3 linked regions of the Nothobranchius furzeri genome follow. The protein of the gene in region 3 purifies or fractionates together with the protein of the main gene of each other region. This does not show direct contact. Links are inferred from orthologs where the notes say so. Each region holds a gene or a part of one and is shown on either strand. Other genes may lie near its edges. The genes, in order: ss18, bcl7a and smarcd2.

Region 1 (3,657 bases), on a different chromosome or scaffold from region 3:
CATTAGTTTTTGTTTGCTTTGAACCCAGAGCAGACGTCACACGCCAGACGACATCAACACTGCATACTTTAGTATTTGTTCATTTATCGTGAGTAATATCGATATCGCAATATTAAGCACTGTTATCGAATATTGCAGGTTTTCCTAATATCGTGCAGCCCTAACTCAATCCTTCAACAAGCTTGACAACATAGATCATGATTGCCCTCCATCGAACCTGTGTGCTTACAGCTCATTATAGCATCCACTTCTAGACGTTTATTTGAGAAACTTTGGGAGGTTTCTGTTATAGTGGACTGTAATAAAATCTGCTGGATGATGGCTCCCAAACTCAAGGAGACATGGAATTTCAGTTTGTCTTCATTAAAGAAGCAAGCATCATTAAAACTAAAAAGAAAAAAATATACATATAGATATTTATATATCTCATCAACCTCTGTTCAGGACTGCCATCTTTCCAGCCGTTGTGAAGGACTGAGGGTTGAAGTCAAATGAGGCCCACGCAGCATCGTTAGGCGCTTGTAATGCCTTGTGCTGCTGTGCATAACCTTGTGGGGGCCTCGGAGAACAGGCATGTGTATGTGCCAGATGGATCTCACCTCAGCCTCTGCTAGCTCATTACTAACATGAGCTCTGGCTCAGATAGCAGCGAGTGATGGGAAATAACAGAAGAAAGATCTTTGAACTTCTATTCTACAAATTCTTCAATGCGTGTATTTATTACCGCTACGTTGAGGTTTGGCTCGGTTTTATCATGGAGTCTAACCACAAGCCAGGGGTTGGGCATATACAACACATGAGCTGTAGAGGAAATGAGTACTTAATAATGTATGAACAGATAACTTTTGCAATGAGAAGAGGAAGCTAATAAGACAGGACTGCAGCTTACTAAGGCAGTCCTTTTATGTTTTGCTCCAGATGATGGTGACATAGCAACTAGCACCTCACTCAAATTAAATCATTCAAGTTAGACGAAGTCCGCCAAGAGAGCCAATGGTGCCTCCTACAGGACAAACGAGTTCCCCAAAACTCACCATAGCCTTGTTGCTGCGGTGGGTAGCCCTGTTGACCCGGGTACTGCTGCTGTGGCGGATAGCCCTGCTGCTGAGGCGGGCCTTGCTGGTACGGTTCCTGTTGTTGGCCATACTGCGCATTACCTTCGAACAGCATCAGCAGGCATTGTTAAAACACACCAAGATTCAAACAAACAAAACCAATGCTAGATGTAAAGTAACTGAGCTCATTTTCATTTTAAAATGTGCAGAAAGTCACAGAATATTTTAAATAAAACCATAAAACTACGGTCTGAAATTCTAAACTAATTCTCTCACTAAAACAGACAGAAACGGATCAGCACTTTTCTAAGTCTAGACATAATTACTTTAGTTTATTTTGAGTTAAAAGTGAACAAACATGACTTGGTGGCAGATTGTACACACCCACACTTTAGATATTTGTTTTCTTGTTAGAAAAAATAAGCTCCATGTTTGAAAGTTCATAGGGAGGAAAAGGGTTATTAGAAGAAAAACAAAACCACAAAAGTAAATGTTAACAAGACAAAGAGGAAGAGTTTTGTACTTTTACCAAGTCAGTGAATTGAACAGATCAAACTGCAAATGTTTTAGCGTCACGAGACATCTACTGTAACCGTCTCATGACACTGTAACAAGACAGTTACGCTAGATGGTAGTTTGTGCTGCTTTTTCAATATTTGTCAGTAAACCTGGACTTATAATTGCTTACAGAAAATGAACATGCAGACTGTATTGCAAAAACTGAAAAAATTAACAAAGTAGCATGTAAAATAAGTATGAGCCATCTAGAGCCTAAAATCCCCAGAATGCATTGCAGAAACTGAAATGTTTTGCTTTGTCGAAGCTAGGGTTGTCATGGTGTGAAAATTTAACCTCACGGTTATTGTGACCAAAATTACCATGGTTTTCGGTATTATCGCGGTATTTTTTTTTAAACGTGCTACATTTTCACACAATTTAATAAACCCTGTATATCAGGAGATATTGTCCTCAGTTTGTCTAAATTTTGCTTAAAATGTGTTATTTTGTAATTATGTTGTTTATTTGTTTACATATTTCCCCTTTAGTCTTTAAAATACCAATATTTGCCCATATCTTCTTATTTTGTCTGTTTGATGTCATCATTTTAAAAATATTAGATCAGATGATACTCAGTACTCAAGTAGCCTTCTAATCAGATACTTTTTTACCCTTACTTGAGTAATAAACCGTATATCAGGAAAATATTGTCCTCGGTTTGTGTCCTTCCAGTGAGCTTTGCAGATGTGGGAAAATGTCATCAGGCAGTAATCATTGTTAAATTCTTAATTATTCTCGGAGAGAGACCAACTCTTATCTGCCCCTGGGAGCCCTGTAATGCATAGCGTCATTTCAACATGGGGTGTCCGTGACACGGTTTATATGCAGGTAGCGGCGCTGCGGCTGCTTTGTATAGCGACTCGTTGCATTCTCCCTCAACCCAAATCCTCGGATCACGCATTCTAGCTAAAACGCTAACGTTAGCTTGCCTTGCGTTGACTGTAGAGTTGCGGGAGATGGTCACGCAGATGTGTCATGAGATTTGAAGCGTTGCTGCCTTTCACAGACACTTTTTCTGCACGTGCTGCAAACAGGATAGCCGTCTTCTATCAACTGTCCCTCGGCATTCTTCAAATATCCAAAAGATGCCCGTACTTCCCACTTTGTCTTCTTTGAGGGATAAAAAATGTCCTCCTGAGCGCTGCCGTCTCCTCCTTTGACCATTATTTCAGCTTTAGCTTCAAGAAAGTTTTGGTTGTAAACAACAAAGCGCGCATGTGCCGCCAGCAACTTCAGCAGATGATACGGTGGCTGGTAAGGGTCACCGCGCCTACACCACAGCCACGGTAATCCACCGAGATAATATCGTTTTTTTTTTAAAAACAAGACGGTTATTATTATTGTCAACTTTTTACCAGGGTTTACCGCTACACCGGTTACCGTGACAACCCTAGTCGAAGCATCGTTTTTGTGTTTTGACTCAACTCCTGGGTTGACTGATTGTCTGTGTTCTCCCAAGTGACTTGCAGGGTTCTCCTACCTTCTGAGGCGCCCTGTCCTGCGTGACTGTACTGGTCGCCATAGTAGTCTTCCTGCCCTGGATACTGCTGGGGGGGTCCTACATACAACATACACACATGTAGATTCAAGGTGCTGTTGCTGTGTAAGGGGGGAGGAGAGGGTAGAGGGGATAGACTCCTTGCTTCTAGTTCATCTTAAAGGAGCTTTCCCTTTGTCACAACTAATTTTACACGGGATTTTGGATTAAACCGTTACTGAACAAGTTGTCTGCAGTCTACAGAAGATGAAATAGAAACAGACTGGGAGGAACAAGAGTGAGAAACACAGGAGGGAAAAGGAGAAGGAAGACCGACACTCTGCTTGGATGTGGAACTGACACACTGAGTGGTTTACCTTGCTGTGGAGGTCTGTAGGGCGGCATTGGCCTCTGCCCCATGACGTGGTTCCCTTGGTTGACCTGACCCATCATACCCATTGGGGTCTGTTGGCCTTGGTAGTGCTGTCCACCACCACCAGGGGGCATGTTGTACTGCTGCGATGGAGGCTGCTGATGCATCACCGGACCTGTCGAACACAACCATGC
Region 2 (2,411 bases), on a different chromosome or scaffold from region 3:
TCACTTTAGAAACACATGAATGGAGAACCTTTATGAATTGAGAAAAAAGACATCCACTACAGCAGCAAATCTATCTCTGTGATCGATTGTGACATACCATAACAGTGCATTGACCCTCCTGAGGAAAAAATAAAAATAAAAAAAACATTTCCTAAACAAACAGAGAACATTAGTCTAACAGGAGGCAGATGGGGAGGATTGAAGTGACTGGGCCTTAGGGTGGAGGTCCCCCCCCCCCGCAGCTGCTGATCTGAGACCAGGTTAGCCCCACCAGTTATCCTGAGCTAAACCACTAGCAGTAAAACAATTAAAGAGCAGTCTCAGAGCAGCGTTCGCGATCGACCTCGTCCTAATCCCAGACCCACTGTTTTCACTCACAGAAGCAGGTCAGTGCTGAGTTGACAGCGCCTCCTGTGGTCACAAAGGGGACCGCAGCCTGGGGTCGGCATTTCTCTTGGCAAAGTAATGTGGAGGACTGTAAGGAAGCACGGAGGGGGAGCAGTGAACAGAGGTAATATCCATCCTCCCTCGGTGGCGGGGGAGAGTACAGGGAGAGAGACGGCCATTCTCTCGTTGGTCTTGTGAGTTTGGGAAGAGAAAAATTGGCAGAAGAATAAAAAATAATAATAAAAAGGGAGTGAGGAGAGCCGGTGTGTCCATTAGCCCTAAATCACCTAGAGTTAATGGAAGGAGGTACAGAGAGAGGGACACAGGAGGATGAGGAGAGAAATGACTCAGCCCAAAATCTTTAGCTCTCCTCAAAGTCCTGAGATGAGGACTCCAGTTTGCTTTTCTTACTGGGCGGGGCCTCCTCCTGTAGGTCCTAGGAGCCAGACAAGAGAAACAAAGTGTGAGATTTTCACCAGAATCCATAACTAAAACATCCTTCTCTTTAAGCGGCTGCATGGTGGAATCAAGATGAGTAACTCCATTTAATTTAATCTGTGTGCTAAACACACAGCTGCTGGAGTCCGGTAAGCTCCAAAAACATGTAAATGTACTTTACATGTGTGCAGAAATATCAGTTATGCTGCTGAGAATGTTAACACTGATGAACGTGTTTTTAAAATGTGCAAAGATCTGCTAAAACAAGACTTCTCTCCCATCCCCAAATCACTTCACTGTCCATTCCTGTTCTCATCTCGGTGGTAACCCAGAAAACTAAACAAATGAGTCCTATAAGGACAGAGTGAGCTGCCCGACTCGTTAGCTGCCAAAGAAAGAATTTGTTCTGTCAGTCGGTCTCAATTCAAAATGTACTCCTCAGGTGAGAAAAGAAACAGTAAAAAAAAACATGTCCAGTTTACTTTGACTCACATCGCTAGCATCACAGATGTTTTTGTTTTATTTTGATCGACGCGTTACTGACCATTAGAATTTATTAATGCATGTTAACCTTAAGAGCCCCAAATACTAATAGATAAGATAATTCACAAAAATATTCTCAAAAGACAAATGGTCAAAGTTTGCTTTTTACGAGTTTATGAAAGTTTTAAATGGAGGATGCAGTTTTTAAATAGGCTCAGTACAGAAGTGTAGCTGATGACCCAATCAACCTTTATTTCTGCTGTTCGTGCCATTCTTTTGCTCGTTAGATGTCAGCAGCGCTGTTAGAGACGGTCTATCATTGGACTGAATTAATTAGGTTCAGTAATATTACACACACAGCAGGAATCTGTCAAAAGGGACGAGCATCAATGTCACATTGTAAATGCCTCGAGGACTATATGTCTTTGGTGCGTCTCTATAAAAATTTCAGTTCAGTTCTGCTGAGAATCGCATCTCAACTCTGGATGAGGATGTGGAGTAGGGCAAGATGGAAGCGATGGTTGTATCAAGTTTATCCTACTCTTTCTAAAGACACGTTTTACACACAAGTGAATTTACTACTCATATTTGTCATTTACCCCCATCCCTTGTTCCTAGAAAGCAGAGTTAAACAGATGAAACTGGCCCCGCCCACATGGTCCCTGCTCCTCTCAGGTGGTCACAGACGTGTTTGTACCTGAGTGGCTTTGCTGTTAGAAGAATCCTTCTCTCCTGAGGACATGCTGTCTCTCTTGGTGCTTGGTGCCCTCTCTGAGGTCTCTGATAAAGAAATGTTCTTACCTGGAATTTAACACAGCAACAAATCAGTCTGACTCATTTAGGCTCTCTAGTGGCACTGTGTGGTTGTGTGGAGTAACTGCACAGTTGGATTAACGGAGCCACAATATGACTGGTCTTTTTCCATGTACAAAAATTAAGAAAATCTAATTAAATGTAATAAATGTTGCCATACAACCAAAATCAGATTCTTACAGAGCCTGCCAGGTACCACATATTAAAAACCAGGCTGTAGAAATCTGTCCTCTTTGTTTAAGAAAGCATACAAACATCTGCTCAGACATCATTCTGTTTGACAGCACGCT
Region 3 (4,254 bases):
ATGTATATTTTTTCCCCAGAGAAACTGATTTAGTGGTTGAGCAGGAACAACCGTTTCAAGCGCAACAATCTGCACAAGCAGTATTTTGTTTGTAAAACACAGAAAAGCTTAGACATTAGGTAAACTCAAATGTCCTCACTGTTTTTATCACATACCTTAAAAATAATGTCAAAGACAATCATGATGATGGTTTGTCTTTTGTTTTCATTCGGTCAGGGTTACACGAGCAGCTCTGTTTGTTTTTCACCTGTGAAAACTTGTCAGATAATGTTCAGGAAATGAACGGTTAATTGTACAAGAAAGCTGCAGAAAGCAGGTTTTTTTGTTTTGTTTTTGGTGGATAGATCAGTTTGTTTTCTAGCATTCAAATATGTCTTTGTATCATGTTTACATTGTAAAGGGTTGCAAATGTCTGTGGTGTGAAGTGGTAGTGTAAATATTCTAATAGTTGAAATGCTGCTATCATGACTCAGTTTGTTTCATCAGTCTAGCATAATAAATGATTTCTTACCTGTCACAAGACTTTGGGCTCATGAGGCGCTCGTCTGACCACCAGAGGGAGCGTTTGGTGAATCCAATCAACCTGTTTTAAGGGAAAACCTACTGAATGAGTAGGTCACATTTAGATTTTTATCAAATTTGAACAGTTTAAGTTAACCTAAAAGAAAAAGTCTGCACACCCTTTATTAACCTCAAATTCTTGTCACCCAAAGACAAATGTCTCCCAGTAAAATGAAGCGGCTTCAAGCAAACTTCAAAATAAAACTTTAAAAATGTTTGTTTTTTCTGGACTACATTATCTTTTTGGCACGTCTTATGAAAGCTGAAATAAGCAGGTATTTTCTGAACAATAGTTTTGCTAGTTGGTGGATTTTTAAGAATAATAGTAACTGATTCTATTATGTATCAGTTTAGTTTTTAAAAATGTTAAATTATACATTGTTTTGTTCTAATAAAGCAATTGTTGCCATAAAACATCAAGAGTAGCCTAATTTAGTTTGAATTAGAACAAAACAATTAAAAGACATTAGGGGGAAACTGATTATTTCTAAATGGTAATCAAGGTACAGCAGTAATAAGTAATAAGAAACATTTCGACTTCCAGCTTTCTTTTTCTGTTTGCATAATGCCTGTGATTACTTCCATTTAAGAAAGTGGGCGTGCACTAAGGCAATGTCTTATAAAGGTCACATCTCAAAAATAAAATGCATTCATTTTAATGAGAGAATATTAACCGGTAAAATATTTTTCTTTGTGTTTTCTGAAAAATATGTTTTGAAGTTGATTGAGCGCCAAACCCATGAACTGATATTTCCGATTGTCCTGAAGGCAGCATGTTGGTGTCGCGTGTGGGCAGTTCAGGGTACTTTAAGTCGCTTCAGGACTGTAGTTTGTGGTAAGTCAGGCGCTGTCAGCTTTCACGGTAGCCTCCCGGTGAAACAGTGGAGTCTGTTGGTGCAGTTTATTCGTATAAAGATGGGTGAGATATGACAAGCGTCCACCGCTCCGTGTCTACAGAAGGAGCAAAAATAAGGTAGGAGGAGATCCCGGAACTTCAGTCGCTCTAGCTAACATTAGCTAGCTTTTTGTTGACAGTGTGCGTTGCTGTCAAACCCGGACATCACCTCCGCAGCACTAGTGGTCGGTAACGACCGCTTCTTCTGACTTCCTGCGCGAGTGACGTCCACTCACCAGCTTCCTATCGTACCTTGTTTCGTTTGAAGTTTCTGTCACTTTTAAAACAAACAACTTGTGGAGTTAGAAGATGGCATCAAGAGGGGGCTTCCCAGCTCCCCAGATGAATCCGAATGTGAACCCCATGAATGTTGGCCATGTAGCGGGGATGAGGATGCCGCAGCCCCCGGTGGGTTACAGCCGGAGCATGAACAACCCCCAGTATACTCAGGTTTGGTTTCTTTTTAATTGTGTAAACACATTTCATGATGTGGAAAATATAAAACTAATAATTATCGTTAATAAAGCTGGTCATTCTGACAGCTTGTAATGACTAAAACAATCTCTACATATTAATAGAAATCAATTTATAACCCATAAGAATGTGGGTGGTGCTTCCGCCTTTGAGAAGTCTCTAGTTACTTCCTGGCATCATTTTAACAAATACTTTTTTAGAAATGCGTCTCCCCATCACTGAGATCCTTTAAAATATACTATTCAAATACGGTTAAAAAAAAGTTACATTCAGTTAAAAATGATCGATGTCACGTGGTTGCCTTTGGCCTCTTGTCAGTTAGAGAAAAAGTTTATCATTACCACCATCTGCCCATGGGCAAGCCTGCATGCATATATTATTGCAGCGTTGCCTCCATCTGCAGCGTTGTGTGGTGTAGCTGACAGGCAGCAACACATTCAGAGATCGTTGCGTTTCTGCTACACAAGAATTCAAACCAAACAGTATAAAGTTTGTGGAAAAATAAAATAGTGGAGCATAAAAATCCACTAAAACGCCTAAAACCTGCAGTGATTTATTTTGCATCCTGATATACATCGACAAATATAACAAAAATATTATTGTGATAGGATTTCCCCTGGCTCTTGCACATCTATAATCTTTAATTCTATGTTTTTTCAGCCTTTTGTAAGCAGTTTTTGCAGGGCCCCACTGATGAGCACAAGGCCTCTTAAGTGACGGGTGTGGCCTTTAAAAACTTTATTTGCACGGCTATGTGCGAATGTAATAACCATGTGAGCAGTCTCAACATGGGTTAAGCTGCTTTTATTGTCGACAGTCCTAATGTCTTTTTTTGGATCGTTTAAGTAATGGTAATAATAGAGATGCACCGATGATGCTTATTTGTGATTTGTTTTAATGCAGTTGGTTGCACAAACTCAATTATGTTCCTGTGTCAAAATGCAGTTAGTTTTTGGAACTACATAACCTGAGATGTTTGCTGATTGTTCACTAAAGTAATTTATAGTTATAAGTGAAACTGATAGCATTTCCTACTCATTAATTTAAATAACACCATGTAAACAGCTTTTTCTGTTTGTGTTAAAATGTTTTTTTTGTAAAATGCATAAAAAGTAAACAAACCACTAACTAAAATGTAGCTTTGAACAAGAATCCATGTTTAACAAGGGGTGCTTATGCATCTGAGGTGAAAGGAAAGTAATAGTAGTCATTTTAAGCATAAACATTTTTGGAAGATTGTTTACCCATGCCTCATGCTACTACAAGAATAGGTGTGTTTCCTTTACCAGAACTTCAGGGTAAATGCAGCGAGGGGGAAACTGACCGGGAGAGCTGAAGGGGCGGTCCTCTTAGCTGTTGTGTCTCCATTTACAGTTTGGTTCTTGGTTGGTTGGTAAGGAATTTGCTAAAACGTCAGCACATTGCGACCGCTGTGTTGTGAGTTACATCATTGATTGGTGCAAAACATGCAGACCGCACCAAAAGCAGTGAACAAAACATCACTTCCAGGCTCAGGCATCATGGCTGAAATTCCAGCGCCCCCACCCTGATTTCCGACTGAGTTACAAACAATCAGCAGCATTCCCACTCATCTACTGCACTGGGCCATTTACCAGGCCACTCCAAGTCCCTACCCTTGATCAGGTACTCAGAAGGTTCCTGAAAATGGCCATTTGGGCGGCCCGGTCAAGTAGAGACACGTCTACCCTGAAGTTCCGGTAATGGAAATGCCCAGTTGTTTAATTATCTAATTTATAGTTTAAAATACTTTTTTTATATTCTAGTGGAAATAATTGCAATTAAAAAAAAAACACAGCTTCAATCTTCCTCCTCCTACTCCAGCGCCCTGGGATGCCACTTGGCAGAGTAGCAGGCCCCATGGGGTCAATGGGGGGTCAGCTTCCTGGTCCTTCCTATGGCGGTGGTAACATTCCAATGCGACCAGGCATGGGATCTCCAAGCATGGATGCCTCCAGGAAGCGTTTTCTTCACCAGCAGCAGCAGCAGCAGGAGACGATGGGAGGCCTGAGGAGAGGGTAAACTGTTGGGCCAGTTTTGTGACCCTAAATTACTCAGATAAACATAAGTGAAAAAAATACTCAGTTTATTTCATGATACAGAAAAGAGCAAAAGTCCACAATAATAGTTGGTTGTTAGTTTTAACTGTTTTTGCACACTTTAGCTTTAAACGTGTCACGATGAAATGTCATGTTTATTTAAATTTCACCTTCAGGCTTTCATGGAAATCAAGTTGCTGCTGCAGAAATGTCAGATGGGCCTGATTTTCAAAACCAATGAACATTTCCAGATTAGGACAGATGCAA

The links.
Region 1: the proteins of smarcd2 (region 3) and ss18 purify together in Homo sapiens (affinity purification with mass spectrometry; 4 studies listed by BioGRID and IntAct, counting the BioPlex papers as one, with this or other methods). This does not show direct contact. The link is inferred for Nothobranchius furzeri from reciprocal best matches to the Homo sapiens genes SMARCD2 and SS18.
Region 2: the proteins of smarcd2 (region 3) and bcl7a purify together in Homo sapiens (affinity purification with mass spectrometry; 5 studies listed by BioGRID and IntAct, counting the BioPlex papers as one, with this or other methods). This does not show direct contact. The link is inferred for Nothobranchius furzeri from reciprocal best matches to the Homo sapiens genes SMARCD2 and BCL7A.

What each region holds. Positions count from the first base shown.
Region 1 is NC_091751.1:52,442,520-52,446,176, reverse strand, and holds part of ss18 (protein SSXT), read right to left. Parts: intron 3,639-3,657; coding exon 3,468-3,638; intron 3,172-3,467; coding exon 3,094-3,171; intron 1,158-3,093; coding exon 1,035-1,157; intron 1-1,034. UniProt on the Homo sapiens protein: Appears to function synergistically with RBM14 as a transcriptional coactivator. Isoform 1 and isoform 2 function in nuclear receptor coactivation. Isoform 1 and isoform 2 function in general transcriptional coactivation.
Region 2 is NC_091746.1:40,397,301-40,399,711, reverse strand, and holds the end of bcl7a (B-cell CLL/lymphoma 7 protein family member A), read right to left. Parts: intron 2,110-2,411; coding exon 2,006-2,109; intron 824-2,005; coding exon 749-823; 3' UTR 601-748; downstream 1-600.
Region 3 is NC_091756.1:35,517,605-35,521,858, forward strand, and holds the start of smarcd2 (SWI/SNF-related matrix-associated actin-dependent regulator of chromatin subfamily D member 2), read left to right. Parts: upstream 1-1,364; 5' UTR 1,365-1,765; coding exon 1,766-1,906; intron 1,907-3,772; coding exon 3,773-3,966; intron 3,967-4,254. UniProt on the Homo sapiens protein: Involved in transcriptional activation and repression of select genes by chromatin remodeling (alteration of DNA-nucleosome topology).